Linked DNA regions of Mus musculus. The protein of the gene in region 1 interacts with the protein of each later gene in a biochemical or structural test. Links are inferred from orthologs where the notes say so. Each region holds a gene or a part of one and is shown on either strand. Other genes may lie near its edges.

Evidence for each region.
Region 2: the proteins of Dlat (region 1) and Pdk2 form a complex in vitro, tested with the Homo sapiens proteins (2 studies listed by BioGRID). The link is inferred for Mus musculus from reciprocal best matches to the Homo sapiens genes DLAT and PDK2.

The regions. Positions count from the first base shown.
Region 1 is NC_000075.6:50,645,448-50,662,391, forward strand, and holds the start of Dlat (dihydrolipoyllysine-residue acetyltransferase component of pyruvate dehydrogenase complex, mitochondrial), read right to left. Parts: upstream 14,334-16,944; 5' UTR 14,020-14,333; coding exon 13,744-14,019; intron 13,343-13,743; coding exon 13,241-13,342; intron 12,843-13,240; coding exon 12,718-12,842; intron 12,552-12,717; coding exon 12,398-12,551; intron 8,302-12,397; coding exon 8,175-8,301; intron 5,492-8,174; coding exon 5,304-5,491; intron 4,327-5,303; coding exon 4,185-4,326; intron 1-4,184.
Region 2 is NC_000077.6:95,018,667-95,034,917, reverse strand, and holds the end of Pdk2 (pyruvate dehydrogenase kinase, isoenzyme 2), read left to right. Parts: intron 1-776; exon of another isoform or gene 777-1,260; intron 1,261-1,894; exon of another isoform or gene 1,895-2,161; intron 2,162-2,175; exon of another isoform or gene 2,176-2,315; intron 2,316-2,381; coding exon 2,382-2,453; intron 2,454-2,687; exon of another isoform or gene 2,688-2,790; intron 2,791-2,897; coding exon 2,898-3,082; intron 3,083-3,808; exon of another isoform or gene 3,809-3,908; intron 3,909-4,911; coding exon 4,912-5,001; intron 5,002-5,186; coding exon 5,187-5,264; intron 5,265-5,919; coding exon 5,920-5,996; intron 5,997-6,121; coding exon 6,122-6,220; intron 6,221-6,331; coding exon 6,332-6,439; intron 6,440-6,939; coding exon 6,940-7,053; intron 7,054-7,595; coding exon 7,596-7,736; 3' UTR 7,737-8,660; downstream 8,661-16,251. Other genes in the region: Samd14 (sterile alpha motif domain-containing protein 14), read right to left, coding at 10,185-10,340, 11,303-11,458, 11,540-11,659, 13,210-13,369, 13,458-13,532, 13,633-13,720, 14,700-14,988, 15,385-15,557. UniProt on the Homo sapiens protein: Kinase that plays a key role in the regulation of glucose and fatty acid metabolism and homeostasis via phosphorylation of the pyruvate dehydrogenase subunits PDHA1 and PDHA2.

The DNA.
Region 1 (16,944 bases):
AGTAACCATTTTTCTCTCAAAGTTTTATCTAGCTAAATTAAATTCTTTATTTTCTTGCATTTTCTTTATTTTGTTTATTTCTTTGCTTTAAGTTGTGAAACACAGACATAATAATACTGATCATAGTTTATAATTGAAAAGGAAAATTAGCTGTTGACTGTGGTTATCTTAAAAAGCTAATCAAAACAAAAAAAAAATCAAAAACAAAAACCAAACAGCACCCCAACTCACTGAACCTTGAAATACTCTTATTTGACCATAAGGTACAATCTTTGTGTAAGGTTGGCAATTTTCTGAAGAAATAACCCTTTTTTACTTCAGAATAGCATGAATGATGTGCAACTGCAATGATCTCATCCTTAGAATCATTCATTTTCCACAATTTTCAGGTCTTTCACCCCAACCAAAACTAAATCAACCCATGTGACAAAGCAAGGAGGAAACACCACACTGTCTCTGAGACCGGCAGGCTCTCCCACAGGCTTTGTTTACACACACTCCCCTCCTTCCTCCCATCTTTACCTCAGGGTTAGGGTCTCAGGTTTAGGCTTAGGCCCAAGTACATCAGCCTGACCTTGAAGCAAATTCAGAATTTAGTTATTATAATACCTTTTACACTGGCCCACTTCTAGAAAAAAATTGGTCAAATTGATTCACCTTCCCCCACGGCAGCCTTTTAAAGGGTTCCCGCTGTGTGCACTTCTTCCCAACTCCTTCCCTTCGTTATGAAAACACAGTTGGCTAGAACTCTCTCTTCACCGGGAGCTCTAGAACAGAGGCGGCGGGACCTCTGTTAGATTCCCCACCCTTTAAGCAGAGAGAAACCATGACCTCCCCTGCCACCAGCCGGGACAGAGCTTGATGCCATACCCCATTACAGTTAGTGTGTTAGCCAGCAAACACTTTTAATTGCTTTGCCAGCTCCCCAACAAAGCACACGGGTGATCATAAGGCAGTAGGGGTAAAGGGAAGAGCTGGCTGGCAAGAGACACGCAGCACTCTGTGGGATTACGCAGCTGACGACAGTCACCTGTCTTATCTGTAGGGTGGAGATGACAGTGGCAGCCCTTGTTCAGAGCTATACTGTGAGAACAACGACACACACACACACACACACACACACACACACACACACACACGACCACTGGGCTCTCAACACCAGAATCCTCAGTTTCTTCCTCAGGAGTTAACGTTTTGGCTAAATTTCCTAATTACCGTGCCCCTCTATCTGACTTTTTTTTCTTCTACAATAGAGTTTTATGTTTTTCTTTCTCTTGCTCCCTCCTCCACAGCCCCAATAATGAATAAAGAAATAAATTTAAGTCCCTGAAATCCACAAGAAACACGTCTTCTCTTTCTAGTACTGTCATACACAGGTAAGTTTGGTCTTTGTCCCAGGCTTTTGGCTTGGGCCTTCCAAAATCTAGGAAATTCCCCATGTGGTAAGTATTTGCTTTCTCCAATCAAGCCTCTTTACGTCACACTAGTTTATGCTAACAAGGTGAGTGAGGGTGGGGCTTCTGGCTAAGGGACATCACTTGTTGTCTGAAGACCAAACACTTGGTTAGTGTGGGACCTTTCGATCTTCTTTCCATTGGCCCTCCCCTGCTTCCTGCACCAATCCCGCCTACAGGGAGAGGGGAAGCTAGACACAGGCAGGCCGAGCAGCCTTGTTTCTGCGCTCCCTGCCCTCCCTTTCCTCCCATGCTCCGTATGGTCCTCAGTCAGGCTTTGTTTGACTCCAGGCCATGGGCTACGGGTGGAGCGCCCTCTGCCAAAATGCTTTTCTCTGACCTTTCACAGGGCTGGTGCACAGATGACTCCTTGTCTGGACATGAGATCATGTATCACTCCTCAGAAAGGTCCCCTCATCCATCCTAAAAGTCGCCGCATCTGTCCCTGAGTCTTTCTTAATCCATCCTTAAGTCACCCCAGCTCTTAACAGTAGAGCCAGGATAGCTAATATGCTTTCTCTGCGCAAGCACTGCTCACTCATTCATCTTCACACCGCATTAAGTATTATTTTTATATACAAGTAACAGAGCCAGAAAAGGTGACACTGTTAGCGTAAGGCAGAGCTCACATTCAAACCTGAGCCTTCTAGCTCTGGGTCCCATCCTTACCACTCGCTAGACTTTTGTTACTTCATCCGCTCCTGCCGGCCAGTGAGGTCGGAACGTTCCCCACCTTACAAACAAGGACCTGATGCACAGGTGCTTCTCAGAACCATGTGCTTAGCTGCTCATAAAGGAATCCTTAACCCAACCTGCAGGAAAACAATACCAAGGTCCTTCAACTCACCCCTCTACCAAAATCCAGCACCACTACCTCTCGAACAAAAGACCCTACTAGTCCAGGTTCTGCAGGCACAATTACTAACTCAGCCCCTCTGCTCTATGTAATACCTTAAACTCGTCTGATATAAGCACAGATGTATAAAGAATGCACCAACAAACTGCAGCTTGGTGCTGAGTGAGAACCAGACTGAGGGCAACAATTGCAGATCTGAGGACAGCACGGGGTAATGGGGAAAATACAGAAATTAAAATAGGACCTGATGTTCAGGCCTCTAATCCTAGCTACTCAGGAGGCTGAAGAAAGAACATTGCAAGTTCAGGGCCAGCTTGGGCAATTTTTTTTAATTTTGAGATGCTATAACAGTACAAAGTAAAGAGAGGGGTAGGAATACATATGAGTGTTACAGTGCCTGCCTACTATGATACTAGGTTCCTGTTTAAAAAACAAAAAACAAACAAACAAACAAACAAACAAAAAACCCTGGGCTGTTGAGAAAGCTCAATGTGTAAGGATGTTACTGCTAAGCCTAATGACCTGAGTTCAACCCTTATGCATTAGGTGTCACACTGTACACAGAGGTCAGAAGACAAATGACAGGAGTCGGTTCTCTGTTTCTACTCTGTGGGTCCCAGGGACAGTACTCAGGTCAGCAGCAGCCAGCACTTTTACCTGATGAGCCAGTTTTGCTTACTGCTACACTCAGTTAACCTAACACTGGGATTTATTACACAGACACGTCTTATAACTCAACACTGCTCAACAAACACATTTGCTTTTGCCAACACTTAAGTAAGACAGGATAGAGACAAGGAAATTGTGGGGCTATGAGAAGGGAAAGGAACTCCTCCTCATCCTGAAGTAGACGGAGCCTCTCAGCACCTGAGAAGCAAGAATTCCAACATCCACATCTGTTAAAGGTGTTTCTCCTCCCAGTGATAAAACAACAATTTCCTAGGAAGCTCATCAAAAGCCCCATTTATAATAGAAGACTTGTATTATATGTAGCCCTTATGGCTCCTGGTGTTATCTATAGATTATAATTCCATCCACAACACCTCCAGTGCCACCCCAACAAGCCCACTCACCAAGAGGAAGAAGGAACAAGAAGAGAGCCACCACAGTGGTATATGGCTAAAATGGAGCATCTAATTGCAACTCTCCCCGCGGACTCACTATTACACTTGGGTTATGTCTGACCTTCTCTGACTGCCTCTTAAAAAGCTCATATCCAAACTTGGGTATAAATTATTTCCCAGAGGATATTTCTCTTAATGTCCATCCTTAAAATCTTCATCAAAAGTATCTTTTAATAAACAACACTGTCCTTTGATGTGCTTTTGATGTTTTTGTGAGCATGTTTCTTCTTTTCATTTTTTGTTTTGTTTTTAAAGAACAGGGTTTCTTTGTGTAGCTCTGGCTATCCTGGAACTCACTCTGTAGACCAGGCTAGCCTTGTACTCAAAGATAGGAGTGGGCCACCATGCCTGGCTCAGAAACACCTTTTTATTTTTAATAAAACCCCAACTCAGCTTCATTCTAACAAGTCCTGAAATTCTTGTCTGCACCAAAGGTACAAAACCTGGGTTTGCCTGAGTCCAGGTTCCTAAGATTACAGGAGCTCCTCAGAGCTCTCAGGGGAAATGTGAGGGACGCTTCCTTCCCTTATCACTGCTGTTGAAGATTTCCTATGAATAGAGGAGAGTTTGAAAAGGCACACAGCTTACATAGGCAATCCTAGGCAGATCGAATAGAACACGGTGATGCTTGCCTTCCGTGAAGGCAGCAAGGATGTCTGTCTCCTTCCACACAGGTATAGGTGCTGGCCTTACACACAGCATTTAACTACACTGTACCTGGATAACCCCTTTCTTCAGAAAGACACTTACCTTTAACTTGGGTGAGGTCAATCCCTTTCTCTGCTGCCAACTTCTTCGCAAGAGGACTAACGAACACCCTTCCCTTTGGTCCAGCAGGAGCAGCTGAGGGGGTAGGTGCTACAGGCTGGGGAGTGGGAGGAACAGCTGCCACCTTTGGGAAAAAAGTTACAGAGCATCTATCCATTCATCACTGCAAAGATAATCTGACAGAACACAGGTTCATATTTTATAATGGAAAACTCTTTATAATTAAATGATGTTATGCACTTTCCTGGCTTGACTAACATAAAAGACGAATGGCAAGAATATTTTCTGACAGAGTCAAAAACAGTTCATGCTAACTAGAGAGGTGTGGAACTAAAACTGACCTATGTATAACATACTGGCTGCCTGTCATTTCTTGTCATTTTTCCCTTTGAGACTATGCAAGCCACAGTGATCATCCTGCCACAGCCTCCCAAGTACCCAAACCACAAATACCTTGCTTCCTGTCCATTCTTTATTTCCTTATATTAACCTGAGCTCTGCTTTATTTAATCTCACTTCAGGATGGAAAATGATAGCATCAGCTCCCACGTTTCAAGTATCTTAAGGAATGGACCACCCCGTTCCCTGACAGCATCCGAATCAATGCGAGACTGTGAATGCAAGCTTCCTCTGAGGAAGTGTGCAGCTCTTCTAAACCCATGGAGGAGTACACTGGAGAGTGCAAGTGCATGATGCTACAACGAGTCATGCCACTTCAGGGCCCAAGGTCCAAAACACACTTCTTCAGCTACAACCACAAGTACCAGAACTGAGAGTGGAAACAGGTCGTTAGTTGAGCAACAGAAAATGTGGGGTGAAACCATCACCTCCCATGGACATGATAACACACCACTAGCAGGTCATGTAATTTACCTTTGTTCTCAGCAAGGCTTAAGATGTCGGCAGAGTAAACTACTGACCATCAGGTGGACAGCACGTGACACACGAGCACGCACGCGCATGCAAGCTCACTCGCACACATACACACCACAGATTAACAGGTACCGCCAGTCACTTTCCTTCGTGTAGGATCTGGACACCCAGGAACCTGAGCTATTATCTGCCTGAACAGACAACTCCCCAGTTCAGAACCACACCTACCGGGGGTGGGGCAGGTGGTGCTGCCTGTGGCTTTAAGCTGGTCACTTCTGTTGGCCTGTAGTCTGCAAATGCTGCTATATCTTCCTGTTTTTCTACTATGATACATAGTGGAGCTCCCAGAGGAACATCCCTTGTGCCTTCAGGGACCAGGATTTTTGCCAGATAACCTTCTTCTTGTACTTCAAAGCCTTAAGTAGAAGGAAAATCATTATGGGACTCAAGCCTCCACCATTCCTACACCCTCACTAGTGTTTCAGGTAAAACATTTTCTTTTCTTTTCTTTTTTTTTTTTTTTTTTTAAAGATTCGTTTACTTATTATATGTAAGTACACTGTAGCTGTCTTCAGACACTCCAGAAGAGGGAGCCAGATCTCGTTACGGATGGTTGTGAGCCACCATGTGGTTGCTGGGATTTGAACTTCGAACCTTCGGAAGAGCAGTCAGGTGCTCTTACCCACTGAGCCATCTCACCAGCCCAAACATTTTCATATTCAAACTACTAGCACTGTTTTTTGGCTTTGTTTTGTTTTTGACAAACTACTTAACTTTTCTGTGCCTCTATTTCTGTCTTTAACATGGGAACAAGAATAGCACAGTGAACCCTCTGACCACAGGTCCTGCATCCCTAAAATCCATTCGGCTGAAGGTGAATGTTACATTGTTGCTGGCATGTACTATGTAGTTAGGCTTCGGAGGTCTGAACTTAGCGCACACTTTTATTCTTGCAACTATTTCCTAAGTAGTCCAGTGTAACAGCTACTCACACAGCTCTGTTGTACTGGGCATTACAAGTAGCTGGAAATGATGATTAAAGTGTACAGGGCTAGAGGCATAGCTCAGTAATACAGGGCTTACTAATATACTCAAGGCCTGAGACCCACCCTCCAAATACTATGTCCACTTATTTAGGGAACTTGAATCTATAGACTTAAATCAGAGTGCCAACACATATACCAAGGAATGGCTGACCATATAATCCTTACATAAATGTTAATGGATTTAAGTCAATTAATGTTTTTAAGTACTTACCCTGCACAAAGTATAAATGAAAAATGCAGTTGGCCCTCCAAATCTATAAGATCAAAACAATTTGGGAAAAAAAGAAAAAAAACAAAACAAAACAAAACCCTGCACTCGTGCTGAGCTCGCACGAATGCCCTTCTGGAGCCAATCCCTTGTGGACACTGACTATGTCTGTTCTACCAAGACTGCAGACAGTGGCACATTCTAAGAGTTACTGAGAACGCCTCAAGGGTGGCTTTATGTGGCACTTACAGGACACTAAGATGGTATCAGCTAGACTGCTAGAAGTCAGAGTTACATGGAAGTCAAATTACAAGAACTAGCAGCAGGACGGTAACATGGGATCTCAGCAGTAAAAGTGTTCTCAGAGCTCCTCAAAGGCTATGCCTGGCATTACGCTACATTTTCCAGTGTTATGAAATACAGTATCACTGGGGGTCTCTGCATCAGCAGGCAAGAAGTTACTCCGCTACTGTTTCTCTCAACACTGAAGACTTACAAAGTAAAGGCCAAAGCTGAGTGTTTTCTTGTAACCACACCCTCAGGAGCCTGAAGCAGGAGGATGGTAGCTCAAAGTTAGCCTGGGCAACATGAGTTCAAGAGCAAACGAGATTATATAGCAAGGAGTTCTCTGTAAGGAAATAGCAGCGTGGCATGATGATGCATGACTTTAATCTTAGCATTCAGATCTCTTGTGACTTCCAGACCATCTAGGGTGAGTGAAACCCTGTCTCAGAAACTTACTGATTGATTTAATTTAATTAAAAACAGCAAAACCAAGCTACTGATAAGGGCAAGTTCTGCCTTTCAGAACTTGCTCTCTGCAGTTATGCTTCTTGATGGACAGACACATCTCTAATGAATTCTTCCATTTTCCCAACCGGGAATACTCAATAGAAGCTGTGCTGAAGATGGACAGAGGTAGGGCACATCTAAGGTTTGGCAGCAAGCACCCTTTACCCCACACCAAACCACCCTGCTGGCCCTTGCTTTTTCCTTAAGGAAGAATCATTTCTTCTAATAATAGCTATGAAAGAACCAGGCACGGTGGTACAAGCCTGCAATCCTAGCACAGTCTCATCTCAAAGAAGAAAAAAGAGGAAAGGGGAAGAGGAGAAAGAGCAGGAAGAGGAGGAGAAAGAGGAAGAGGAAGAAGAGGGAGAAGAAAAGAAGGAGGAAGAAAAACACTATAAAAAAGGTATAGTATGTTAAGGGGGGGTCCTTACTCTTTGATATCACTTGCCCAGGCTACCAAGAGAATGGTGACGAGCACTGTCTGTGCCCACTACTGCCTGATGCCTATGTCCTGCTCTGCCACTATGGCGTGGATGGGCCTTCTGCTCCTGGAAACCACGGAAGAGTGGAAACAGGTTCAGAACACCTGGGATTATCAATAGACACAAGCACAGTACATGACTGCATGGTGAATAAGTCAATAAAGGGGCACATGGAAATGAGAAAAAGACTGACATCCATGGCACTTTCAGATTATGAGACTAATCTACACCCTGGGTACTGTTTTCCCTCAGAGGCACCTGAAAGGCTTTGGTATTCTCCTGCCCTAGAGGGCATGACTATCTTCCTCCTCCCTCCTTCTTTTCCCATGTTTAGACAATGGCAGTGCTGGTACAACTTCTGAGTACCATAAAAATAAAGCCAAGAGAGTGAACCCAGGCCTTAGAATAGACCCTGACATATCCTCCATTGATGAGTACAGCTCAGAACTGACACGTGTGGCTGTGATGACCTTTTTATAAAATATGACCCAGGCAGCAAATCTCAGGACTGTAAATGTCACATTACCACTCACTCAGTACAAAAAAATGTACTGATGGCCATCCTCCTCACCTATGGTGGCCTTGTCGGTCTCTATCTCTGCCAGCAAGTCTCCTTCACTCAGCTTCTCGCCCACTTTCTTTTCCCACCTCTGGACCGTGCCCATGGTCATGGTTGGGGAGAGGGCAGGAAGAACAATCTGTGGAGACAAATGCCACACATCACTGCTTAACCAGGACGCATAAAAGCATTCAGGTAAGCGCATGCTTACCAACTATACAGTGAGACCTTGTCACCCATCACAAAGGTCTGTACTAATTGCTTTCCCAGTTAAATCAACCTTTAAAACAAGAGTGATTAGACACCCTAACCCATCCTCCAAAGTGAAAAGCAACAGGAAGATGGAAAGATTTCTTCCAGATGGTCAAAACAAACCTCTCTCCCACCCGCCTCTCTGCACAGACACACAAAGTATCTTTTCAACCAGGTCAGTGGTTCTTAATTTTTCTAATGCTGCTACCCTTTAATACAGTTTCTCATGTTATTGTTACCCCCAGGCATAACAATAGATCGGTTGCTACTTCATAAGTGTAATTTTGTTACTGTTATGAATCTAGTGTAAGTTTCTGGTATGCAGCTATCTGATGTGACCTATATGAAAGGGTCACTTGACCCACAGACTGAGAACCACTGATCTAGGTTACCACCAATACTTTTCATTCTTTTTTTTCTTTCCTTTTATTGAATATTTTCTTTATTTATATTTCAAATGTTATCTCCTTTCCCTGTTTCCCCTCCAGAAACCCCCTATCCCTTCCCCCATCCCCCTGCTTCTATGAGGCTGTTCCCCCACCCACCCATTCCCGCCTCTCCACCTAACATTCTCCTACACTGGGGCATCAATCCTTCACATGACCAAGGGCATTTCCTCCCACTGATGCCATCCTCTGCTACATATGCAGCTAGAGCCATGGATAGCTCCATGTGTATTCTTTGGTTGGTGGTTTAGTCACAAGGAGCTCTGGTGAGGTCTGGTTGGTTGACACTGTTGTTCTTCCTATGGGGTTGCAAACCCCTTCAGCTCTTTCAGTCCTTCCTCTAACTCCTCCATTGGGGACCCTGTGCTCAGTCCAGTGGTTGGCTGTGAGCGTGGCCTCTGTATTTGTCAGGCACTGGCAGAGCCTCTCGGGAGACAGCTATATCAGGCTCCTGTCAGCATGCACTGCTTGGCATCCATAATAGTACCTGAGTTTGGTGACTGTATATGGGATGGATCCCCAGGTGGGGCAGTCTCTGGATGGCCTTTCTTTCAGTCTCTGCTCCACACTTTGTCTCTGCTTTTCCTCCCGTGAATATTTTGTTCCCCCTTCTAAGAAGGACCAAATCATCCACGCCTTGGTCTTCTTTCTTTTTGAGCTTCATGTGGTCTATGAATTGTATCTTTAGTATTCCAAGCTTCTAGGCTAATATCCACTTATCAGTGAGTGCATACCATGTGTATTCCTTTATGATTGGGATGATATTTTCTAGTTCCATCCATTTGCCTAAGAATTTCATGAAGTCATTGTTTTTAATGGCTGAGTAGTACTCCACTGTGTAAATATACCACACTTTCTGTATCCATTCCTCTGTTGAGGAACATCTGGGTTCTTTCTGGCTTCTGGCTATTATAAATAAGGTTGCTATGAACATAGTTGAGCATGTGTCCTAGTTATATGTTGGAATGTTATATGTTGGAGCATCTTCTGGGTAGATGCCCAGGAGTGGCATAGCTGGGTCCTCAGGTAGTACTATATCCAATTTTCTGAGGAACCACCAGACTGATTTCCAGAGTGGTTGTACCAGCTTGCAACCCCACCAGCAATGGAGGAGTGTTCCTCTTTCTCCACATCCTCACCAGCATCTGCTGTCCCCTGAATTTTTGATCTTAGCCATTCTGACTGTGTGAGGTGGATCCTTTTCATTCTTACAGAACGATCTTGGTCTAGACAAACTGCTGAATTTACTGTGTTCTGCAATAAGCATCTTTTCACTCATGAGAAACCATACTTATTTCACACCACACACACACACACACACACACACACACATATATATATACATATATATAAATTAAGGACTAAAGATATGGCTAAGTGATTCAGAACACTTGCTGCTCTTGCATAGGATCTTAGTTTGGTTCCCGATGGGCCAACTCTCAATCACCTGTAACTCTAGCTTTAGTGAATCCAATCCTGTCTCCGGGAATACCAGCATGCACATGTCTACACACACAATTTTTAAAACTGAACATTAAGAGCAATTCTGGGAGCAAAGGATGAGGTTCAGTAGTAGAAGAGTAGCTGACTAGCATGCATGAGGCAGGACTAGAGGGAAAACCCACAAAACTAAATACCATTCTTCAGAGATAGAGGAACAATACATTGTATTTTTTTAAACTGTTAAAAAACAAAAGGCTTTCTGATGTGTGTGTGTGTGTGTGTGTGTGTGTGTGTGTGTGTGTGTGTGATGCATGCACAGGTGTATATAAGTGTGCAGTGGAGAAGCCAGAGGAGGATGTAAGGTATCCTGAGCTATCTCCCTCATTTACTTGAGAGTCTCTCACTGAAGTCAACAACAAGCCTCGCTTTCCAGCTCCCCCTTCTCTGCGCACTCTGGTTATAGAAGACAACTAACTTACTTCCACAATGACCTCTACACATTTAAGTGCACACTAAATGCATGTAAAAACAAATATCTTTATTTTGGACAGGTTTTCTCTGTATAACAGCCCTGGCTATCCTGGAACTCAATTTGTAGACTGAGCTGGCCTCTAACTCAGAGACCTGCATGCCCCTGCTTCCAGAGTGCTGGGATTAAAGGTGTGTGCCACCATGTCTGCAAGACTTAGAAACTCTTTAAAAATTATTTCTTGTTCAGAATTTCTTTTCTTTGTTGCACAATCACCAGTAAAGTATGAATGTGTATGTTTGAGTGTGCATGGGGGGGGGCAGTAGAAAGAGAAATACACTCATTTATTTATCTTTACCATCTCAAAGGATTCTTAGGACCCAATTCTAACACTTAAACACAGAGCAGGATAAAATGGAGAAAAGAGGTCTTATGTAACAAAATAAGGTTGCTGAACTGAAAGAAATCATCATGAAAGCTAAAGACCAGGAAAAATTTCATCATAAGGAATTGTTACCAATAGACTTGGAACGTGATTTCCAGAGAAGAAACTGACTCACCCAGAAAACTTCTTATAAAGTTAAGGAAAGGCCAAATCTTAATCCTTTAGATTTTACTTACTTCCAACATCAAGACCACAGAAAGATAAACAAAGGAAAACTCTAAGATCTAATACTGTGATTAAGTGCACAGGCTTTTGGCGTCTGGGTATGATTTTCTTTGGCTCTTTTTCCCCTGTTTGTTTGGCCCTATTCTAGTTTTGTTTTTTGTTTTTTTTTTAGATGTCTAATAAGAAGAAGGAAAGGGCATGGGTAGGTAGGGAAGCAGGGAGGACCTGGGGTGGGAAGCTGTAATTAGATTGTGTTTAGGAAGAAAAAGCACAAGATGGTTTCCTAGAGCTGATCTAGGTTGGTGGTAATCACATTTATGGCCAACAGCACTGTTAGAATGTTATCCTGTAGACTTATTCCATACTGCTCATTCTTTTTAAATGATTTATTTATATTTTATATGCGTTGGTGTTTTCCCTGTATGCATGTCTTTGTGAGGGTGCTGGGTCCCCTGGAACTGGACTTACAGACAGTGGTGAGCTGCCACGTGGTTGCAGGGAATCAAACCTGAGACCTCTACAAGAGCAGTCAGTGCTCTTACCACTGAGCCAGCTCTCCATCACCATCATACTTATTCTTTATTGTTATTTTTTCACTAATGACTATTACTGGAATACTTCATCTATGCTTAGAAGTAGCCCACTCTAAACCAAAGGAAAACTTCATCTGGGGACTTTCATTCAGCAAATAGCACCTGTTCTCTACTTAAATTCTACTTGCATAGGGGAAAAAGTCATTTCCGAAACCTTTCACATCGTTTGTGAAAGAGAAAAGCCAAGCATTATCCTGTATCCTGGGCTAAAGCCGAGAAAGGTTAAAGAAACTGTCCAGGCTCACACACTTAGAAACAACAAGAATAATTTTCACAGCTAAAATCTCTCAATACGGCTGAATGACAGGCACTTATAGTTAATGACACGTTTTCAGAGTACAATAGCCACCCATAGAGAAAAATGACAATAAAATAATTAATAACAAGTCACCAGGAGCCGGCACTCAGAGGCTGAGTCTTACCTGCATATGAGTAGGATAGGAGCTACCGGGAGCGCTTGCAGAAGGTGCCGCTGGGGCAGCAGCTGGAGCTGGGGCTGCAGCTGGGGCTGCCTGTGGGGCAGCTGCCGCCGCCAAATCCAATGTATAATTTTTAAAGGCCTCAATATCCTGAGGCCTGAAGAAAAAGAATACATAAATATAGAATTTATAAAGCAAATCCAATCCCTAACCTCCCAGCGAGTCCTCACATGTCTTTAACTTCCAATCTGAGTTGAAATGCTTTAAAAGCAACAAATGTTCACAAATTACAAAGATTTTTTTTTCTTTTTGTTTTTACTCACTTTTCAACTGTGATACAGATGATGGACCCAACTGGAACATCTCTGGTCCCTTCAGGAACAAGGATCTTGGCCATATAGCACTCCTCCAGGCTCTCAAACCCAACAGTGGCTTTATCAGTTTCAACCTGTTAGCACAAAAGCACTGGCTTAGGTTTGTACTGCCAAGAGGCAGTTAACTGGAATGTGTCTAGAAATCCATACGAAGATAAAACCCACTACCACAGACTTGAAAGAACGGTTTAAAAACATTTTGGGTAGAAGCTAGGCATTGCTAACATTGTAACATTGGGGGTGGGGGGGGATATCTCTGAGCATTGCAGGCCAGCCAGAGTTACACCGTGATCTCAAAAACAATTTAGCTAGCTGCTGACAACGTAGCTAACCAATCATCTCTAATAAATGGGGAGGTGGGAGGGGAGCTGCTTCTTAAAGAGAAAGAGGAAACTACCTACCAGAAGGCTAAGCTTTAGTCTATTCAGCAAAGCCACTCCCTTAGGTAAAATCTGCGTGTTTTAAGACTTACCTCTGCAATTAGATCACCCTCACTGATTTTTTCCCCTTCTTTTTTTTCCCAGCGGGCTATGGTGCCTGCCTGCATTGTAGGGGAAAGGGAAGGTAATGGAACCTGCAGAAAAAGAAGCATACATTTAAACAGGCATACTTAGCCCTCGGCGTGCTTTCATTCCACCCAAGTTCATGCAGAGTATTTACTGAGTCACATTTCAAACTGTTCACTGGAGATACAAAGGGAGATCTAGCACTCCAGAAATTCATGACTTTCAGAGGCAGGTTGATCCTCCAGTCAGTCTAGTGGATCTGAGAAAGCACGTGAGACTTCTCAGACCTTTTGCCCATAGCCGCAGGCTTAGACCTCTTTCAATAGAAAAGATGCCCACTGGGAAGGTCTTGGGCGAGGGACCGTAATAGATCTGGGAGGGAGCTGGCTGTCGGAGGCCTCTCAAGGAGGATTCCCCACGCCAAGGAGCGGGCTCTGAAGGACAACAGGCTCCAGGGTGGGTCACTCACCTTCTGATGCGGAGGGAGGCTGTAAGAGCGGCGGCTGGGCGACCCCAGGAGTTGTCGCAGCAAGCGGTTACGCGGGACAGTGCCGGAGCCGGAGCTCCAGCCGCACAAGGAGCGGACCCCATAGCGGGGGATCCCACTACCGCAACGGACCGCAGCGGGGCCAATCCGCGGGCTCCCGCATGGGGCCCCGGGGCCTTCCTTCAAGGCCGCCCACCGAGCCCTGAACCCATCCCTGGGCACAGCACTCCGCGCCCTCCGCGCACAGACGCGCCACATTACTGCCACCGACCCCCACGCCCCAAAGGCTCCGCCGTCTCCGGAGTGACCTCTCCAAGAGCAGCGCGGCTCTGCCGTCAGCCGCGCACTGCGGTCGCGCAGTGTCGTAAAAGCGGCTGCTTGGACGGGCGACCGGAACGTAGGGTTTCCGTGCCCCTCTGCGGGGGGGACGCGTCGGAGACACCCGAGAGGGACGGGAGGCTGCCGCTTAGGATCTGCGGTGACGAAGGCGCTGCGAGGCAGTGCGGGGGCGGTGCACGTTTGGGAGAAACGGGAAAGGCCCTAGGAGAGGTGTCGCAGAGGATGGGAAGTACGGACCAGGGCCGCTCTAAGGGACCCGAGAGTCGGACCGGCTGCAGCCTGAGGGCAGGGAGGCGGTGCCAAAGGGAACGACCGCCTTTGCTTTAAGAAAAAGCTGGGGAAAAGAGCCCGGGCTGACAGTAATGCAAAGCTTTAGGTCGATGGGTGCGGGCGCACCTTGGAAAGTTGGAGAAAGGAAAGGCCCTCGAGTGACGGGGGATCAGGGGGTGACCCTTGGCTGCAGAGCCCGCCCCGTGCAGGCTGTCCTAGGTCCCTAACCCACCGGAAACGGGAGCAGCAGGGTTTTCAGCCAAATGATGTGAAGGGCAGCCAAGAGAAAGGTACATTTTCACATTTCCAGTTAGTCACAGAAGACTAATTATATTTCCTCTATAAAGATACTTGTTTGTAAAAAGCAGTTTTATTACCCCCAGATTTCCACCGTATCCTCTTAAATAGCGAAAATATTTTAACACACACACATTCCTTTAATTATAGCATTACGGAGACAGAGGCAGGTGGAACCCTAGATTCCAGGACAGCCTGGTTTAATGCTGTTCATTGCCAGGCCAGCTTGGGCTACATACTGAGATTCTTTTTTTTTTTTTTTTTAAAGAAAGGTTTAAGATACAACTTTGCGAAAGTCGTTGTCGTGCTGTCCCGCAGTTCTGTGAATTCAATAGGAAAACAACAACAGAAACCTTTCTTAAACTATGGAGTAACAATGTGGGGTCAAAAGAAAAAAAATGGCAACAGTGAAAAGCTGCCGAACCCAGCCGCGCCAACCTAGGTTGTTTCTCACTACTGCTGCCTACACTGAATCCTACCGCGTCGCTGCAGCTGTGGCTGTGAGGACACCCGTGCCCTTTGTACTGCCATGCCCTCGGTGTCACACGAGGCCAGCCAACACTGCCTGAAACACCTTGGCACAGATTCCCCGTGTATGGTGTGATTCGCACTGGTTTTACTGTACAAAGTGTTCTGCTCTCACGTGAGCATAATGATTTAATTGCAGAAAGACATTTCCCACAGTTATCCCTTCTATATAAACATTATAGTAGTATAATCTTTAGGTTGAATTGTTATGAGTATTTGGATTTTAAAATTGCCGTGGCTGATTTGAATTTCATAGAAAATCAATCAGTGAATTTTGGTTTGAGATTAGGACTAAATTTTCCAGTAAATGTCTCCCTAGATTTTCCTATTCTATGTATATATATAATATATATATATATATATATATATATATATATATATATATATATATATTAAATTATGACATTATTTTCTGTGTATATGCTAACCAACTCCATCTCTCCAGACCAACACTGAGCTATCTTGCCAGCTCATATGGTACATATTTATCTGAAGCAGCATCCTCAATATTGACAACTATAAATCAACTCTATGTATTGTAGTAACTATTTAAGCGATTTTTTTTTAGACTGACAGCACAGTTCACACGGGTATCTCATTTATAGGACTAAACTATGTGTCCATCCTAAAAGAATGTCTATTGAAAATGGGTATAGACACAATGTAATTTTTTTTCAGTCACAAATAATGGGGTTTGTCATTCACAAAATGGATGCAACTTAATTAAGCAAATTAACTCGGTCTCAGATAAATATTGTATATTTTCCCTCATTTTCTATCCTAGTGTCACTGAGCAGCATCAACACTTGGTGACGTCACCTTTGTATGCTGTGCAGTCACGAACAGACCTTCTGATGCGGTACACACATCAGATTAAAAAAAAAACAAAACTTACTAATGTGTGAGGCAGATGAAGATCTTATGTGCTGTTTCTCCTTGTCTTCTGAATTAGTATAGCAGTAATCCTGCTGAGTGCTTGACTTTCAGTTATTGAGTAATGATTTATGTGCAACATTTATGCAATATGTATCCATTGGATGGGTTATGTAATTAGCCTTATCATTCCTGAACTGAAAGTGACATTAAATTAGGAGGAAGCGTGCTCTGAATGTCTACCAATTCCTCAGTGTACAGATGGTCAGAGAATACCAAGAACACAAGAAGAAATTGGGAGGACAAAAAGTTACAACTGATAGCCAGTATGGTGTACATGACTGTTGTTCTGTTGTTCAAGCACCAGATGGCCACTTTGGGGCTAGCCTGGGCTACCTACATGTACTCTATCTTAAAAAAAAAAAAATCTTAAAATTCTTAGCCCTTGAAAGGCAGAGGCAGATGGATCTCTGTTGAGTTCCAGGCCAGCTAGGTCTACATGGTAAGACCCTGTCTCAAACATAAAGCTGGAAATACATATTCAGAAACCAAATGAAAGAAAACACTCGGAGCTAAAAGTTGAAATATATCAAGCATTGAAATTGGTAACATTAAGTGATAAATGAGGCTGCTTGAATTTGGGAGAGACAGACAGAGCCTTTAAATTGATTTGTGAATTCCTTATTTATTTCTGGGCTGGGGTGATAGTCTATGCCTGTGATTCCAGCTACTGCAGAGGCTGAAGGAAAGTGATTAATTATCTGAATATATCTGTTTAGATAACATGGTGAGATGCTGTCTCAAAAAAATAACTATCTATTTCTGGCTGGGATCCTCGGTGGCTTGGTGGCAGAAATCATGATTAGCATGTGCAGA
Region 2 (16,251 bases), on another chromosome or scaffold:
CAACTTGGACTCATACTGTGCCTTAACCTCTCCCTGGCTCTGGAGAGGGGCTACCCAAGGGTCAGCATAACCCTACCTCAGTGTCTCTCTCTCTCTGGAGGATCTAGTTGTATCCCAATCCCAGGGTGACATGGAAGGCCAGGCCCACGGGCACCTTAGGGCTTGCTACCAAGGGCCCTGAGCAGAAGCAGCCTCCCCTGTTCTTCCCTGGAGAATCAGGAGCACCCAGCATTTTTTCCCTATGGAAAATGGCCCCTTGAGGGACAGGCAGGGATGTCAGTCTCCAGTATCCCCCCACAGCAACCCAGACAGTTTTGACTTTTGTCAAAGGATCCAGGTGGCCCTTGTTCCACGGCAGTGGCCATGTCACCAGTTCTATGTCTTCTCCTGAAAGTTCACTCTACAGCCCTGCCCGGCCTTGGAAGCTAGGACCCTGCCTGTTTATACCTCTGGGCGTGCACAGAGCATCCTACTCCTGAGAACCTTTCCTAGTTGAAGAGGAGAGCTGCCCCTCCCACCAGGCCTAGAGGTGGAACAGTCACGGCTCACCCACGGCTCACCCACGGCTCACCCACATCCACCACCTCTGGGCAAGCACAGAGCCTACTGCTTCTGGCCTTTTGGGGCCCTGCCCCCCACCCCCGTGGATCTTGAGGAGGAGTCATGTGGCCCACCCTCCAACTGCTCTGTCCTTTCCTCTCCCCCGCCCCCCCATACACATTCACACTTGTAGCTTCTCTCCCAAGTCCCCTCTCCCTCAAAGTCCCCTCACCTACTAGTGATCAAAGGCCCTGTGTGGGCCTCTGAGCCCAGATAGGCAGCAGTGATGAGGGCACAGAAGTAGCTCAGTGAACGCCAGCTGCCATGCCTGTCTAAGGAGACTAAGGTCTTCCTGATGCAGGTATCTGGGCAGGGGTGAAGGGAGACTGTCAGGAAGCTGGCCTCTTCATTTATCCCATCCACAGCGACCCCCGTAGATATTGTGTTAGGTTCTGGTTGGGACGAAGAGGAAGGAGCCCCAGACCAAGCCTGCTCCTGCTCCCGGCGGCGCCGAATAGCCTAAGGCGCGGCAGTAGTGGAGCTGAGTGGGTGTGCTCAGCTGGAGACAGGTTTTGAGTGGCCATCGGTCAAGCGCATTCACTGCGCAGTGAGAGATAAGGATAAGAACTCCCACCTTTCCTAGTGAGAAAACAAGCCCAGAGAAGTGCCGCAGCTAATCCAGGGCCACACTGGAACCCAGCGGCACCAGCAAAGAGCAGTTGTGGGGTGCAAAGAGCAGGGCATTCTACACAGAAAGGGAGGCCGGGGTGAGATCCAGAGCAACGGCAGCCCTGTTGGTGGCAGGAGCCCTGGAGCTCCACAAGGCTCGGCTGTACTCCCACCCAGTGGGGACACTGCTGCGGGGCCCATTCCTTCCTCTCCTCTCAGAGCTCTGGGTGATTTCGAATAGGTCCTAACCTAGTGTCTCCACTAGAGACTCAGGGGCTCCCCATGACAGGACTCCAGGTAGCCCTCCCAGCCCTCAGACCAGAAGTGTTTCTGCCCTAGGCTCACAGTTCACATTTCCAGAATAAGACTCAGGCTGGAGCATGCCTGGAGGGGAAGCTAAGGTCGTGGCTCAGTCAGGCAAGGGGACAGTGACATTAGATTGGCACCATCTACTGCCTCAGGCAGCCCTACCTCACGTGCAGAAGCTCAGGGCTCAACTCCCCCCCCACCCCCGTTCTTTATTCATTAACCTTTCCTAATTGGAGAGGAGGCCTGCCCCACCCACCAGGCCTAGAGGTGGTACGGACAGCAGGGCTCACCCACACCCTCCCTGCTCATTGGCTTCAAAGAGCAGAATGAGCCTCCCTGGTCCTCCCTGAGGACAGAGCTAACCACACCTACTCACCTTTTAAACCGAGGGTTCCCGAGGCAGGTTCCAGATCACTCTGGGAAGAGGTTCTGTGTCAGCAGCTAGCCTGCTGGCAGCACCCGTTGTCCACTAGAAGCCTCAGCCCCCTATGGAGATACCAGGATCTTTGTCAATAAAGGGGCTCAGCGAGGCAGGTAGATGTCTGAGCCCTCTGTTACTGTAGGACACTTGGGCCTCAGACCCCTGTTCTCTCCAGCCTCTAGAGAGGGGGTGATTTCTGGACCCTCCCAAGGTTGCTGCTAATCGGGTTCTGGAGCAAAGACATGCACTGTTAAGGGAACTGACAAATTCAAGGTTTTCTTGGACAACTTACTAGGTTGTCAGGGAGACCCGGAGCGGATAGAATGGGGTGTTGATTGTCAGCCTGTTCAGCTCTGTGCGCCACCTACCATAGCATCTGAGGGGTGAGAGGGAACATTGTGTAGTCTCAGCTGGGCTTATGAACTTCTCTGCTTTCACACAGGTATGTCCAGAGTCTGCTGGACATCATGGAATTCCTGGACAAAGACCCCGAGGACCACCGGACTCTAAGCCAGTGAGTGAGCACCCTCTTTAGGGACAAGAAGGCAGGTGCAGGCAAGGACATCTTGGTCAGGGCCACAAGGATGGAATGCCAGCTGGGTACAGGGAAAGGCCCTGCCTTCAGGGATGTGCCAAGAAAGGGGGGAGACAGGCTACTTCTGGGAAAACCAGGTCTGCTGCGAGAGACGAGAATGCTAATTATCAGTATAGCAAGAGGATGTGGGGGAGCCCTGCCCCCAGAACAAACCTTCAGAGAAACCGAGAACTTTAGCTGTAAACAGGAAGATGGATGGAGAGCTGGGACAGTAGTGGTGGGCTTCCAGTGGGTGAGCTTCCGTGTGTCTGTGGGTCTGGGGAGGAGAAAATGAAGGAACTGATAGGCCATTGGGAATAATGGAGAGCCAGGGTGTCCCCAAACCTGAGACTGGGTAGAGGCAAGTGTCTGCCTTCTCTGAAGGTTCACAGATGCCCTGGTCACCATCCGGAACCGGCACAATGACGTGGTGCCCACCATGGCACAGGGAGTGCTGGAGTACAAGGACACCTATGGAGATGACCCCGTCTCCAACCAGAACATCCAGTACTTCCTGGACCGCTTCTACCTCAGCCGCATCTCCATCCGAATGCTAATCAATCAACACAGTGAGTCCTGCCTGGCTGCTTCGGAGAGGGCAAGGGGCCCGGCAGGGCACGCCAAGAAGGGCACCGCCCCCACAAGAAAGCAGGCTCCCCACTTCAGCCTCTGGGCTCAGAGGCCTGAGTGGCATTTGGGAACTGAAGAGTGTGGCTTAAGTCATGTGTCTATAACCCTAGCACGTGGGCAGCTGAGGCAGGAAAATAGTATATGTTTGAGGCCAACCTCAAAAAAATTAAGTAAATAGAAAATTTAAAAAGTAATTGGTTCCCAAAGTAAAGTAAAAAGTGCAACACTGAGGTGAAATTCTGTTGTTGTAAATATTTGTAAATGTCAAACATGCTACGTGTTCTGAAACAATTATATTTATTTATTTATGCACATGTGCACATGTTGTGGGCAGAGGACATCCTGCAGTTTACGCTCTCTTTTCATCATCTGGGCCTTGGGGATTGAACTCAAGTTGTCAGGCTAGGCTGCAAGCACCTTTACGCACTGAGCCACCTTGTGAGCCATTTACACATGCTGTCCCCCACCCACCCATACCCACACCCAACACATTAAGAACTCCATTGTATTCAAAAACGGTTTATCATTTACCCTTTCCTGTCCAGAGTTTTCTATGCTGGTTGACAAAGCAGAGCTAAGTTAAGTGAGTTCTTTATGTTCTAAGAAAAGCAAGCTGATGGAAGTTATCTTACAGTATTGTGTGAAGATATGAAAGCAAAGCGTACCTTTAAAGCTGGGCTTGGTGATGCACAGTACTTGGGAGACAGAAGCAGGCGGATTTCTGAATTCACAGCCAGCCTGGTCTACAGAGTCAGTTCCAGGACAGCCAGGGCTACACAGAGTAACTCTGTCTTGAAAAAAAAAAAAAAAAGAAAATACATACACACACACACACACACACACACATACATACATACAGATATATACACACACATATACATGTACACACATATATACATGCACACACACATATATACATGCACACATGTATGCATACATGCATATATACATATGTGCACACACAGATACATACATGCATACACACATACATGTATACACACATACATATATACATACATGCACACATGCATACACACATACATATACACATATACATACATAACACACACATATACACACATGTATACACATGTACACATACATACACATATATACATACATATATAATACACATGTATACACACATATACATACACACATATATACATACACATGTATACATGCATACATACATACACACATAAATACACATATACATACACACATATATACATACACATGTATACATGCATACATACATACACACATAAATACACATATACATACACACATATATACATACACATGTATACATGTATACATACATACACACATAAATACACATATACATACACATATACACACATACATACACTTATACATATATACACACATATATATAAACACATACATATATAGATACACACATAATTCATATACTCATACATATATACATATATACAAACATGTATATGTACACACATAAACACATATGCATACATGTATACATGCATATACACATACATACATATATACATGTATACATATACATACACTTAACAGGGTATGATGTGGAGAGGACTATGGAAGGACTGCTGTAAGGTGCAGAAGCTCTGGAAGGCCCAAGCTAGAGGGAAACAAGACTTGGGGGGCATGGTTAGCATGGACCATACAAAGGCCTACAGATGAGGTGAAGAGTGGGGTGTTTAGGAAGAGGGAGAACTAGATCCTGTGAACTTGCCAACCGCGCCCTTCCCTCTGCCCACAGCCCTCATCTTTGATGGCAGCACCAACCCAGCCCACCCCAAACACATTGGCAGCATCGATCCCAACTGCAGCGTGTCTGATGTGGTGAAAGGTGAGCCCCCCCACCATAGGCCTGGCCCACAAAGGAGCTCCAGGGACCCCTCCCAAATAGCCAGGTCAGAAGGTGATCCATTCCCAGCAGATGGGGGGGGGGGGCATGTCAGTTTTCACGTCAGTGCCAAAGGGACTGCTGCTGGGTCAGCCTCCCATAACCTGAGTGGTCCTGTCTCCTCCCAGACGCCTATGACATGGCTAAGCTCCTGTGTGACAAGTATTACATGGCTTCCCCTGACCTGGAGATCCAGGAAGTCAATGGTAAGCAAATGAGTGTGTGTACATGTGTATCTACATGTGTGTGCACATATGATTACACGCGTGTATGTGTATGTGTATGTATATGTGTGTACATGTATGTGTGCATGTACCCAGGCAGGCCAGAGTAGGGGAGCTAGGAGGTCAGACCCCCCTAGAGAGGAGCTGCTCTGTATTACCAATTTGTTGGATAATTGCTCACTATTTGATATACTCAACATGTAAAGAAGACAGGCAAGGCCCCTGTCCTCACAGAGCGTACATTCTTGGTGCTAGGGAGGTTGAGACCTGTGATAGGTGACCACTGACCATGCAAACACACCAGCTAATTTGAAAACCTCACAAATGATAGGAGGGGCAGGGTGTGGGGTAACAGGCCGGAGACTGGAGAGTGATGCGTGATGCCCCCAACCCAAGAACCAGCATCTTCATCGAGAGGTGCTTCCGGTGGTCAGAGCCGGTACCCAGGCCTCCCATGCCTGGAAGGAAGGAAGAAGCAGGGTTGAACTTGGGGCTTCTAAGGGTTACTAGCTGTGGCTGCTCGGAGTGGGTGCAGCCACTTAGCCACCTAGGCTAGGTACAGCTGTGGAGAGAGGGAAGGTCTGCTTTGAAGGTGACCTTGCTGTATGACTCCTGGCCCTGGTCTCCATTCCCACAGCCACCAACGCCAACCAGCCCATTCACATGGTCTATGTCCCTTCCCACCTGTACCACATGCTCTTTGAACTCTTTAAGGTAAGAGGCTACCCTTCTCGGGGGTGGGGGTAGGGGCTGGGCAGGGTCAGCTCTTGGCCCCCAGCTTCAGCAGGTACCTTTGGGGCTGGCTTCTCTCACTGCATCATCCTTCATTCCCTTCCCAGAATGCCATGCGGGCCACTGTGGAAAGCCACGAGTCCAGCCTCACACTCCCCCCCATCAAGATTATGGTGGCCCTCGGTGAAGAAGATCTGTCCATCAAAGTATGTGACCCTTGACTTGGCCATGGGAGGTTACAGGGTGGGGCGGGGGGCAGAGGGAGGAGTGGAGCACATAACCTTGGAGGGTATCTCACATGCCCCCTGGTCTCCCAGATGAGTGACCGAGGCGGGGGTGTCCCCTTGAGGAAGATCGAGAGGCTCTTCAGCTACATGTACTCCACAGCTCCCACACCCCAGCCTGGCACTGGGGGTACCCCGCTGGTGAGATAGACGCCTTCCTCCAGTCCCCTGGCTCCTGCTTTTTAAACTCCCAAGCATATCCCCCTCCCCACAGCCCACCCCATGGCTGTGTGGTGTGACAACAGTCTCCTGTTGTGACTCCAGGGCCTCCTCTCTCTCTACCGTTTGCTAATAGCCCCCTGCCTGCTGATCATCCGCCCATCTGTTTAGCTGTCACTTCTCCTTGGCCCTCTCTCCTCTTTCTCCACCGCATTGCTAATTGCTGTCGCCTCTGTCCCTGCTCCTGTGGAACAGGCAGTCCTAGGCTTAGGGAATAGACTCTAAGGAGCTTTTAACCACCGGCCTGGGTAGAACTCTCCCGCCCAGACCAGCGTCTCTCCATGCATCCTCTGCAGTCCCCCTGCCTCCCACCTACTCCCATCTGCTTCAGAAATGTCCCTTCTCCACCCCTGCTCCAGCGCCCCTGCCTGTCCCCAGTCCAGCATTCCTGGCTCACTTTATGACCTGTGGCTCCTCTGTAGGCTGGCTTTGGGTACGGACTCCCCATTTCCCGCCTCTACGCCAAGTACTTCCAGGGGGACTTGCAGCTTTTCTCTATGGAGGGCTTTGGGACAGATGCTGTCATCTATCTGAAGGTGAGGCCCGCCAGGGGCAAGCTGGCTGCTAACGGGTTTCTACCCATCCCTCATCCTTCCTGACTCCAAACTCAGTTTTGGCTCTCCAAGACTCAGAGGAGCCTTGGCTCCTCAAGCACTGTAACTTTAAACTAATGTGGTAGGCAACTTCAGGGGGTCTAAGGTCTGTGAGTAAGGCCCCTCTTCTGAGAAACCCTAGGCTAGAAGGAAGGGAACCTTACAGGTCTTGAACTTCAGTTGATCCGAGTGTACCTTGGTGATTAATAGGGATCACACAGCAAAGCCTCCCTCCCTCTTGATCCTTTTTGCCCCCCTGATCGTGGAGGGGCCAGCTTCATGGAATGGGCCAGGGCAAGAGACAGAAGGCTGACTCTTTTAGGGGCTTTTCCAGGTCTGGGGTAATGTCTCAGGCTAATGCCTGGTTATGAGGCTGACTCAGACCTGGGTTAGGACTCCAGGGATGGAGACCATCAGGGCCTGGGTGGGAGAGGGTAGTAAGCTGGGGTGTGGGCAAGCAGGAGGTTGATGGCAATGCTCTCTAGGCCCTGTCCACGGACTCAGTGGAGCGCCTGCCTGTCTACAACAAGTCTGCCTGGCGCCACTACCAGACCATCCAGGAGGCCGGCGACTGGTGTGTGCCCAGCACAGAGCCCAAGAACACATCGACGTATCGGGTCAGCTAGGGGCCTTCCCTCCCTGGCACCTGTAGGATGCTGCCACCTCTGAATCCAGCCACCACAGGGACCTTCCCTATCTATCCCCTAGGGTACAAGGGGTGAAACTGGGTCTCCCTGATGGCCAGATCTGTCTTTGTAGAAATCTCAGTGGCCCAACTGTGGTGGTCCCTAAGTGCCAATATGTCTCTGTGGAGAAACCCTAGGGGGTTTCCCTGGAACCCGGTTTCCATAGTGATGCTTGAGGGTTGGGGATGGCTCTCCCTGATGGGGTGGCCCAGAGACACTTCTCCCAAGATCAGAACTGTCTGTTTTCTACTAGAAGCCCTGGTTCCCCCTCACTGCCTGCATAGTCCTGGCCTTCCAAGTGGCTGCTCCGCTTGCCTTATGCCCACACACTGTACAGGCACATTTGGGCTGGGTTCTTTGTCAATGTTAAGAAGGATGGAGTGCCCTCAAGTCTGGAGAGGGACTGGGGGAAGATAGGGTCCACCCTTGACTCTGATCCTGCAGCCTCTATCTCTACTCTGGATGGTATGAAGTTGCAATTGGGAACTTGAGAGTAGGTAGCGATTCTCACCCGGGGCCCACCGAGAGGGCAGGCCTAGGAGTAAGCTGCCCCCAAGGTGATCTTAGCAATGTTTCTGTTTAGCTGCTTCCTAAAGCCTTGCCCACCCAGCATGTCCTCACGTGCACACCTCCCCTGCCCAGTCTACACCCACCCTATGCTGCCTGAGCTTCAGACCCCACCCCACCCCTATGCCCACTATGTGTGCACAAGTGACTCACCCCTAGGACAGCCCTATGTACATAGCCAGTTTTGTAATCTCAGAAGCCCTGCCCTTCCCCTCCACACACAGGGGTTAAAGCCGTGTGCCCTCCCAGTGGCTGGGATGGTGACAGTGACATCCACAGTAAACAGATGAAATGTGACTGCTGCCTGGCTTCCTTGCTCGGGGAGGGGGAGCCCACACATGAAGCACCTGTGAAGACTGGTCCCCTAGGACTAACTGTACTCAGGACCTAGGCCAGCTGAACACGCCACCAGGCAGGGCCGTCCACTCAGGCGTAGCTTAGTCCCTTGTCCCAGACAAGAAGATCACTGGTGTGTGGTAAGTATTTATTGAAAGAAGTTGATAGCCATCTTCCCCCTTCACATGCAGGTGGGCACACTTGGCTCTTCACGGCTTCGGGGACAGTAGAGCCTCCACCCTCCCCACCCAGTCTAGGAAGTGCCAGTGCCCCGATACCTTAGTTTTCCCTATGAGGCCCCCTCTTCCAGTGAAGGTGACTGAGCACAAACATAGGGCCCTGGCCTTCAGCCACTTTCCCAGGCAGGAGAGAGGGAGTTAACATGCAGGTCCTGTTCACCTCTCCAGGAAACTGGGAGGGGTGGGGGTTTGTCATCTAAAACCTGGGCCTAGTAGTAACTGACCAGCACCCAAGAAGCTGGGTCAGCATTGCACCTGGACCCTCTATCTCTGAACACGCCCTACAAAGGACATGTGCCAGTCCCACGCGGGGCTGGCCCAGTCCCCCTCTGTAGCCTAGCAAACCTAAGCCAGCAGTGTCTGTCCATCCGCCCCAGGCCTCTGAGGCCTTGACACACCCAGGGCACCAGGGAAGCTGATGGACCCTTTCAATCTGGCAGCATGCAGGCCACACTTAGGGTGTGCCTCTTCACCATCTAGACACTAGTTGGGGGAGTGACCCGTGTCCCCAACAGCTCTCAATTTTTCCTGCCCTCGAAGGCTCAAGTACTCTCCGAAGAAGTGGATTTTAGCTCTGCGAAAGGGACTCAATGGGAGAGGAGCAGACCTGTGTGCTGGAACCTGCAGGTGAGGGAGGGGAAGAGAGAGAGAGTGAGTGAGAGCTCCCTTCTCCCCCTCTGCCTTCCTTACAGAGGCCAGCTTATCCTGCCCTGCTCTCTCTCTCCTCTGAGGAGGTGTCTGGGAATCCACCCTGAGTGCTACTGGCACTGCCCACTGGCCTCTCTGGGGAGATCTGTTCTCCCACCACACAGCCACCTTCAAAAGGTGAGGAGACACAGCTGTCTCCTGTCTCCAGTCGGGTTGCCCAGGCTACTCTCTAAACCTAGGAATCCTGGCCATGGTAGGGCCTCTCCTGCTAGATTTCTTCCTGCTCGGACCACTCTAGTCAGAGGGCGGAGGTTCCACCTGAACCAGGCTCCTCTGGGCTCCGCGTTTGCTGCATTCCTGGCCTCTGCCCTCTTCATCTGCCACCTGCTTCCCCCTGGAAGTCTGCGCCAAACAAGTCCTCGAAATTGGGTTTATTACTGGGCCCTCCCCCCTGGGGTCTCCCTCCAGAGGACTCAGTCCAAACAGGGTGAGAGGGGGGCCGCGTGCTCCGAGAGCCTGGTGCCTGGACCCTGCCTCCCTGGTGAGGCCCATGTAGGTGGCTGCAAGTGCGCCGGGGTGCCAGCCCCGCCAGCCATCCCTAGCTCTTCTTGGCATCGTTCTCGCGGCGCCGCAGCTTCTCCCGCTGCTTTGCGGTCTTCTCCTGCGCCTTCCGTTCCTTCTCAGCAGCCGCTGCCAGCTCCTTCAACTTCCGCTTCACCAGTGCTCGGTCATGCGAATTGCTGAGCCCCAGGCTCTGGGAAGAAATCCAGAATGAAGGAAAGAGGCCTAGAACGCTGCCCCACAGACCCACTAGAGTCTGCTCGGAAGTCTGGCCTTTGCCTAGGGATCGGGGTCCCAAGGTAGGAGGAATGGCTTGCAAGTGGTCAGAGATGACAACTCTCTGGCACTAGGCCATTTGCGACCCCGTCCTTGGCGCCAGATCCTTAACCTAGGATTTCAGCCTTAGTATGATCCTGCTCAACCTCTGAGGTCCTCAGAGTGAAGAGTGACTTGTTCAAGGTCAAGTGGCTTATCGGCTAGGTCCCTTCCCGTTTCAAGAGTTCCTATGGGGGGCTGGTGAGATGGCTCAGCCGTTAAGAGCGCCGACTGTTCTTCCAAACGCCCTGAGTTCAAATCCCAACAACCACATGGTGGCTCACAACCATCCGTAACGAAATCTGATGCCCTCTTCTGGAGTGTCTGAAGACAGCTACAGTGTACTTACATATAATAAATAAATAAATAAATAAATAAATAAATAAATAAATAAATAAATAAGAGAGTTCCTATGGGGCTCTCTCTCCCTCAGTCCCAGGAACCTGCAGATATTGGAGGCCACCTCTCCACACTGTCCACTTAGCACGCCAGAGCCTGGTGGTATCCAGGATCTGAGAATGAATATGGGATGGAGCTGGCCAAGAAAGTGGCCTTGATGGTAGTCCAAAGATCAAGGTCAGCCCAAAGACCCGGGCTGGAGCTAGAAGGTCAGATAGAAGCGATTAGGCTTGAGTTTCAAGTCAGATGGAGGTGTTGTACTACACTGCGAAAGGAGTACCTTGCATAGAGGTCAGACACCGGGTCAGAGGCTACACAGGGAGAGCCAATGCCAGGTCAGTCCAGGAGGTAAGTCAGGGTCAAAAGTCAGGACAAAGGGTGATTTCTGTCCCTAAAAGCTATCTCAATCTGAAAGATCATCACCTCTGCACTCTGACCCACCTTCAGTTTGCTTCCGTCCAGCTGCAGGAGCTGCGGCCCATCCACCTGCCGGGCAGCAAACTCGGCAGCATACTGCTCCAGGTTGAGGCTGTGTAGCCACTGGCCCACCTGCTGGCTGGTCCAGTGTTGTACGGCAGGGAGGGACTCATCCAGGAACTGATAGAGATGGGGAGAGTACAGGAAGCCTGGCCTGCGGCTGGGTCCCCCCCAGCAGGCACAAAGGCCAGCCTCACTCACCTCATCCGAAGACTGGGACAGCGTGTGGTAGGGATAGGAACACTTGGTCTCCTGTCGAGGACCACCGGGGATCTTGGGGCTGCTGCTGGGGGGTGTGGAGTCATCGCTCAGGGTAGATTCCTACATGGAAAGGGACGTGTGCCGAGAAGTAAGTCCACCTCCCACCCCAAGCCCATCACCTGACCAGAGCAAGCTGAAATACTACACTAGGCACCAGCAGCCGTTCAATGCTCCAGGACCAGGAACTCAGAACTAGACAGCCAGACACAGGCTGTGATGACTGAAGTGACATATCAGAACCTGAGCCCTCTAGGAGGGAGCGGACTACCTAGAGGACATAGTCCTAGCATTAAGTTAGGCTGATGGATGAAGAGGAATGGAGGGGGCTAGGTGCTGTTCCCTATAGGCAGCTTACCAGAATCCCTCCCCCCAGGCTAGGTCTTGTGTCCCTGTTACATAACAATTCTTCTCCTGGGCTGGAGGGATGGCTCACGGGTTACATTAAGAGCACTGGCTGCTCTTCCAGAGGTCTTGAGTTCAATTCCCAGCAACCCTATGGTGGCTCAGAACCGTCTATAAGGAGATCTGGCGCCCTCTTCTGGCCTGCAGGCATACACGCAGGCAGAACACTTGTTTACATAATACGTAAATAAGTCTTTTACAAAAGAATCCTTCTCCTAGAACTCTTGCATCCTGGCTGGTGGGTACCCCCAAATGGCCTTGAATCTCTGTGAGGACTTGGGCTGTCTCTCTCTCAGCATGGTGTCCCTTGGGACCAGCACAAAGGGAGGGACTGAGGAAGACTATCAGGTGGTTATAGACTAAAGCTGCACATCAGACGGGCCTTTCCCCTGAATCCCACGATTTCTGATTCCCCTAAGCCCCAGCACCATACACAGCTGTGCACATCTGTGGGTGAGTCCCCTTTTCCCCAAACCTCATTTGCTTATCTGTACAATGCAGATAATAATGACTACCTTGCCTAAGTCACAGTTAAAGCCACAGACAATAGTGGTCTTTGTGAACATAAGGAGACATTAGTATTGGTTGTGTTGATGGTTCCTATCGCCTAGGGTCTGGAGCTTTCAGAAGACTACGTGGGGGTCCTGCTCATCTCCGCTATCTCCAAGACTTCCCATCATGCACATGGCCAGCTCTTGATGGCACTGCACAGTCCAGACCTGACTCAGGCAGAACAGTAAGAAGAAGGGCTCCTCAGACTGAGTGAGCAGTGGAGGGCCTCAGTGTTCCCACAGGAGTTCTGAGTATAGGGAGCAGTATAAACACATGAAATACGAATGGGTACGAACGCACGAGGCATGACTGAATGAAGCCAGAGAGTAGAAGCAAGCCATGAGTCACCAGGCAGCTCTGTAGAGGGACACTATGGGTCCCAGAAAAACCTGGGTCCCAGTCCAAGCCACGATGAAGTATGTTCTTGTCCTGAGCCTAGAAGCCAGTGTGGGGCAAGAACGTCCCGGGGTTACACTGGGAAGGATGGCACATTCTTCTAGTCCCAGCACACAGAAGGCTAAGGCAAGAGGCTGTGTAGTTCCAGGCCAGCCTGGGCTACAGAGTAAGACTGCCTCAGCAGGGAAAAAGAAAGAAGGGAGGGAAGGATAGATGAGAAGAAGGAAGGAGAAAAAGAAGGAATGAAGACCTGGGCTTACCTGGGAAGCTGACTTCTTGGGGCTGAAGCCCTCGTGTTTGGGGGAACAGGTCGGGGAGGTGGTACTCCCCGAGGAAGCAGAGCCCTTGCCGCTGTCCGTGAACCAGGAAAAGGGCAGGAACGGGGAGCTTCCTGTCCTTCCAGAACCTTCTACAGACTCCCTGTGGAGAAAGCATCCAGCATGGTGTGGGTGACCAGGAGTGGGTGGGAGCTGTGGGTGGGCGGGTGGGTGCCATGGGGACCTCTCACCTGCTGCCCATGGACAGGCGGTTGCTACCCTTCTCCTTCCTGCTCCTGCTGGTGGATGCTCGGCGGAGAGTGACCCTGGAAGGAGGCAGGGGGGGAGAAGTAGGGCATACCTGCCCACTGTGATGCTCTGACCCCAACAGCTCCAAGGACACTTGCAATATCTGTCCCCACTCACCCCAGGTCCAGGAATTTCCTGCGAGTCTTCTTGTCCAAGCCGATGGTGGGGCTGGCAGGCTCAGGGGGGCTGGCATCCCGGCTGTCATCTTTAGAAAGAGAAGGGGAGGAAAACAGCTAACGCAATGGTCTGCTGGCCTCCTGCCGCCGCCTGTGTCGGGTAGACATTTCTTGACGTAGAATTAGGCCATTTGGCCCTAGGGTTCTTCATTAGCTGTGTGACCCAGGATAAGACACTGTCTGTGTGTCTTATTTCAAGCAGAGATGAGCCAATTTTACAGTATCTAATGGGAGCCTAGGCTTTTGCCTTTTACAAACTGTAAAAGCACTTTACATCTGAGAAGGCAGGACCGTTTTGGTTTTGTTGCTGTTGTTTTGAGACAGGGTTTCTCTGTGTTACCTTAGCTGTCCTAGAACTCACTCTGTAGACCAGGCTGGCCTCAAACTCAGAGATCCACTTGCCTCTTGCCTCCTAAGGGCTGGGATTAAAGATATGTACCACTACCACCCAGCCAAAGGTATTAGTATTAATTAGTTCTTTTTTTGAGACAGGGTCTCTGGAGCTCCCTATGTGGCCTTGGACTTCTGACTCTCCTGTATTCGCCTCCTGAGTACTGAAAACCAGGGTACATGACCATATCTGGTATTCTGTCATGTTTCCTGCCTGCTAGGCATACTACTGACTTTATCTTGACCGTTTTCTAACCAGTCTTTCAATCTCGGCTCAAATGTTGCCTCCTCAGGGAAGCATTTCCAGTCAGGTGAGGACACTTAACAACTGTGCATATTTCCTGCATAGCTTTTATTACAGCTTGTACCTATACGGTAATTATGGGGTGATTTGGTTGTTTCTTTCCTAAGCTACACGTCCCCAGAGGCCAAGGGCTGTCTCTATTCTCTGTATGGGCACAGCGGTGTCTGGCATATAGTAAGCTTCTGTAAATGAAGAAGGGAACCTGATGGCCAGCCAGCCTTCTGTCTCCCCTGTATTACCCCAACTGCCTGGCCTAGCTGCGATTCTGATGCTCGATGCTCGTTGGCAGGCAGCGCCGCGCCTACCGAGCTCACCTTCGCTGTGCGGCTCTGCTCGAGGGTAACGACGCACGAAGCTGGGGGAGCTGTCGGAGGAGGGTGCAGAGCGTGGTGGCGAGCCGGAGGTGGCGGCCAGGCCCTCATGCGAGGCGGCGTTGTGCAGGGGCCGGTACCGAGCGAGTGGCGAGGGCGGCGGTTCGTCCTCATCCAGACTGCGCCTCAAGCCCGGGGGCTCCAGGCAGAAAGATCCACTGGCTGGGGAGCCTGGACCCGAATGTAGAGGCGAGCGCAGCCGGTGCAGCGGGCTACCGCAGCCGTCGGTCACCTAGAAGAGGGGCAGCGGTTCAGCGTCCCCCCTGACTTCCCAGAGGATGGAGGCCAGTTTCCCCCATCGGCTGTACAGGAGCGCCAAGGAAGCTCTGTTTCTTGGGGTCTGGAGAGCAGGTATTCTGGGACCCGGGGCTGGAGAAATGGATTCTCACAAGAAGTGAAGACATCCTGCTTCATTTGCACATCCCACAGTTAATGGGACTTCCCGAACCTTCTGGTCTCAGCTTCATCTGTAAAATGGGCTAACAATCCCTTTTCCTGTACAGAGGTACAGGAGCCAGAAGTGAACTGCTAACTGATCTTTGGGAGCATCTCCGGGGGCACACACTTCCCTGGAAGCGTGAGGGAGGGGGTATGGTCCAGGGGTAGGATGTTGGTGTGTGTATGTTACCCCAACCTTGCCTCCGGGCCCATCAGAGCCTTCACCGTCCTCGGCAGAGCTGGCACTGTCTCGTAGCCTGGAACGGGAAGGCCGGTGTCTCCGGCCCTTGGCCAGCAGTTGAGCCCTGGCTTTGTGTAAGCTGCTGTCCAGTCTGGTGGTCTCTGGTACAGCCAAGTCCAGGTCTGCAAACGGAGACCAGAGCCACCTCAGATGGGCCAACATCCCAGTCATTTAACTGGTGCTTGGGAGTACCACCTACTGTGCTTGTGGGTTGAAATGTGGGTGCCCCACAGTTGGGCTGGGCTCATAACCCCACCTGCTATCATCCCAGGTCCTCCTGTGGGCATGGCTGGCCTATGTGCAGACACTCACAGAAACAGGGGTAAGAGGAGGCACACCCACCTGGATCCTAAAGTTTGAGTAAGAGTTGGCAAACTATTGGAATGGGTGGGAAGTAAGAAGTAGAGATGGAACCCCTGGGTGGCAGGAAATAGCTCTGTGGAAATAGGTACTCCCCAGTGGATTGGAAAAGCAGTGGAGACCAGGTGGATGAAGAGGCATCTTCATGTACCCAATGCTATACACCTCACTTTCCTCCTTAGAGCTACCTGGGTTGGGGGTGAGGGTCACAGCATCTGGGCCATGGTTCATAGCTGAGCCAACTAGGATCAAAGAAGGCAAGTCACAACTGGAGCCACTGACTAGTGACAGTGTATCATCTGGAGTGTGACTCTAGGAACAGTCCCTCCTGGTGACACTGTCTTGCTGTGCCACACTCAAGGCTGTATTTAAGGATAGCTGTGTTATTCGTGACCACACACCAGTGTCAGACCCAGGAGCAAAGTTCCCACAGGCCCCTGCAACTTGTTTCTTGGG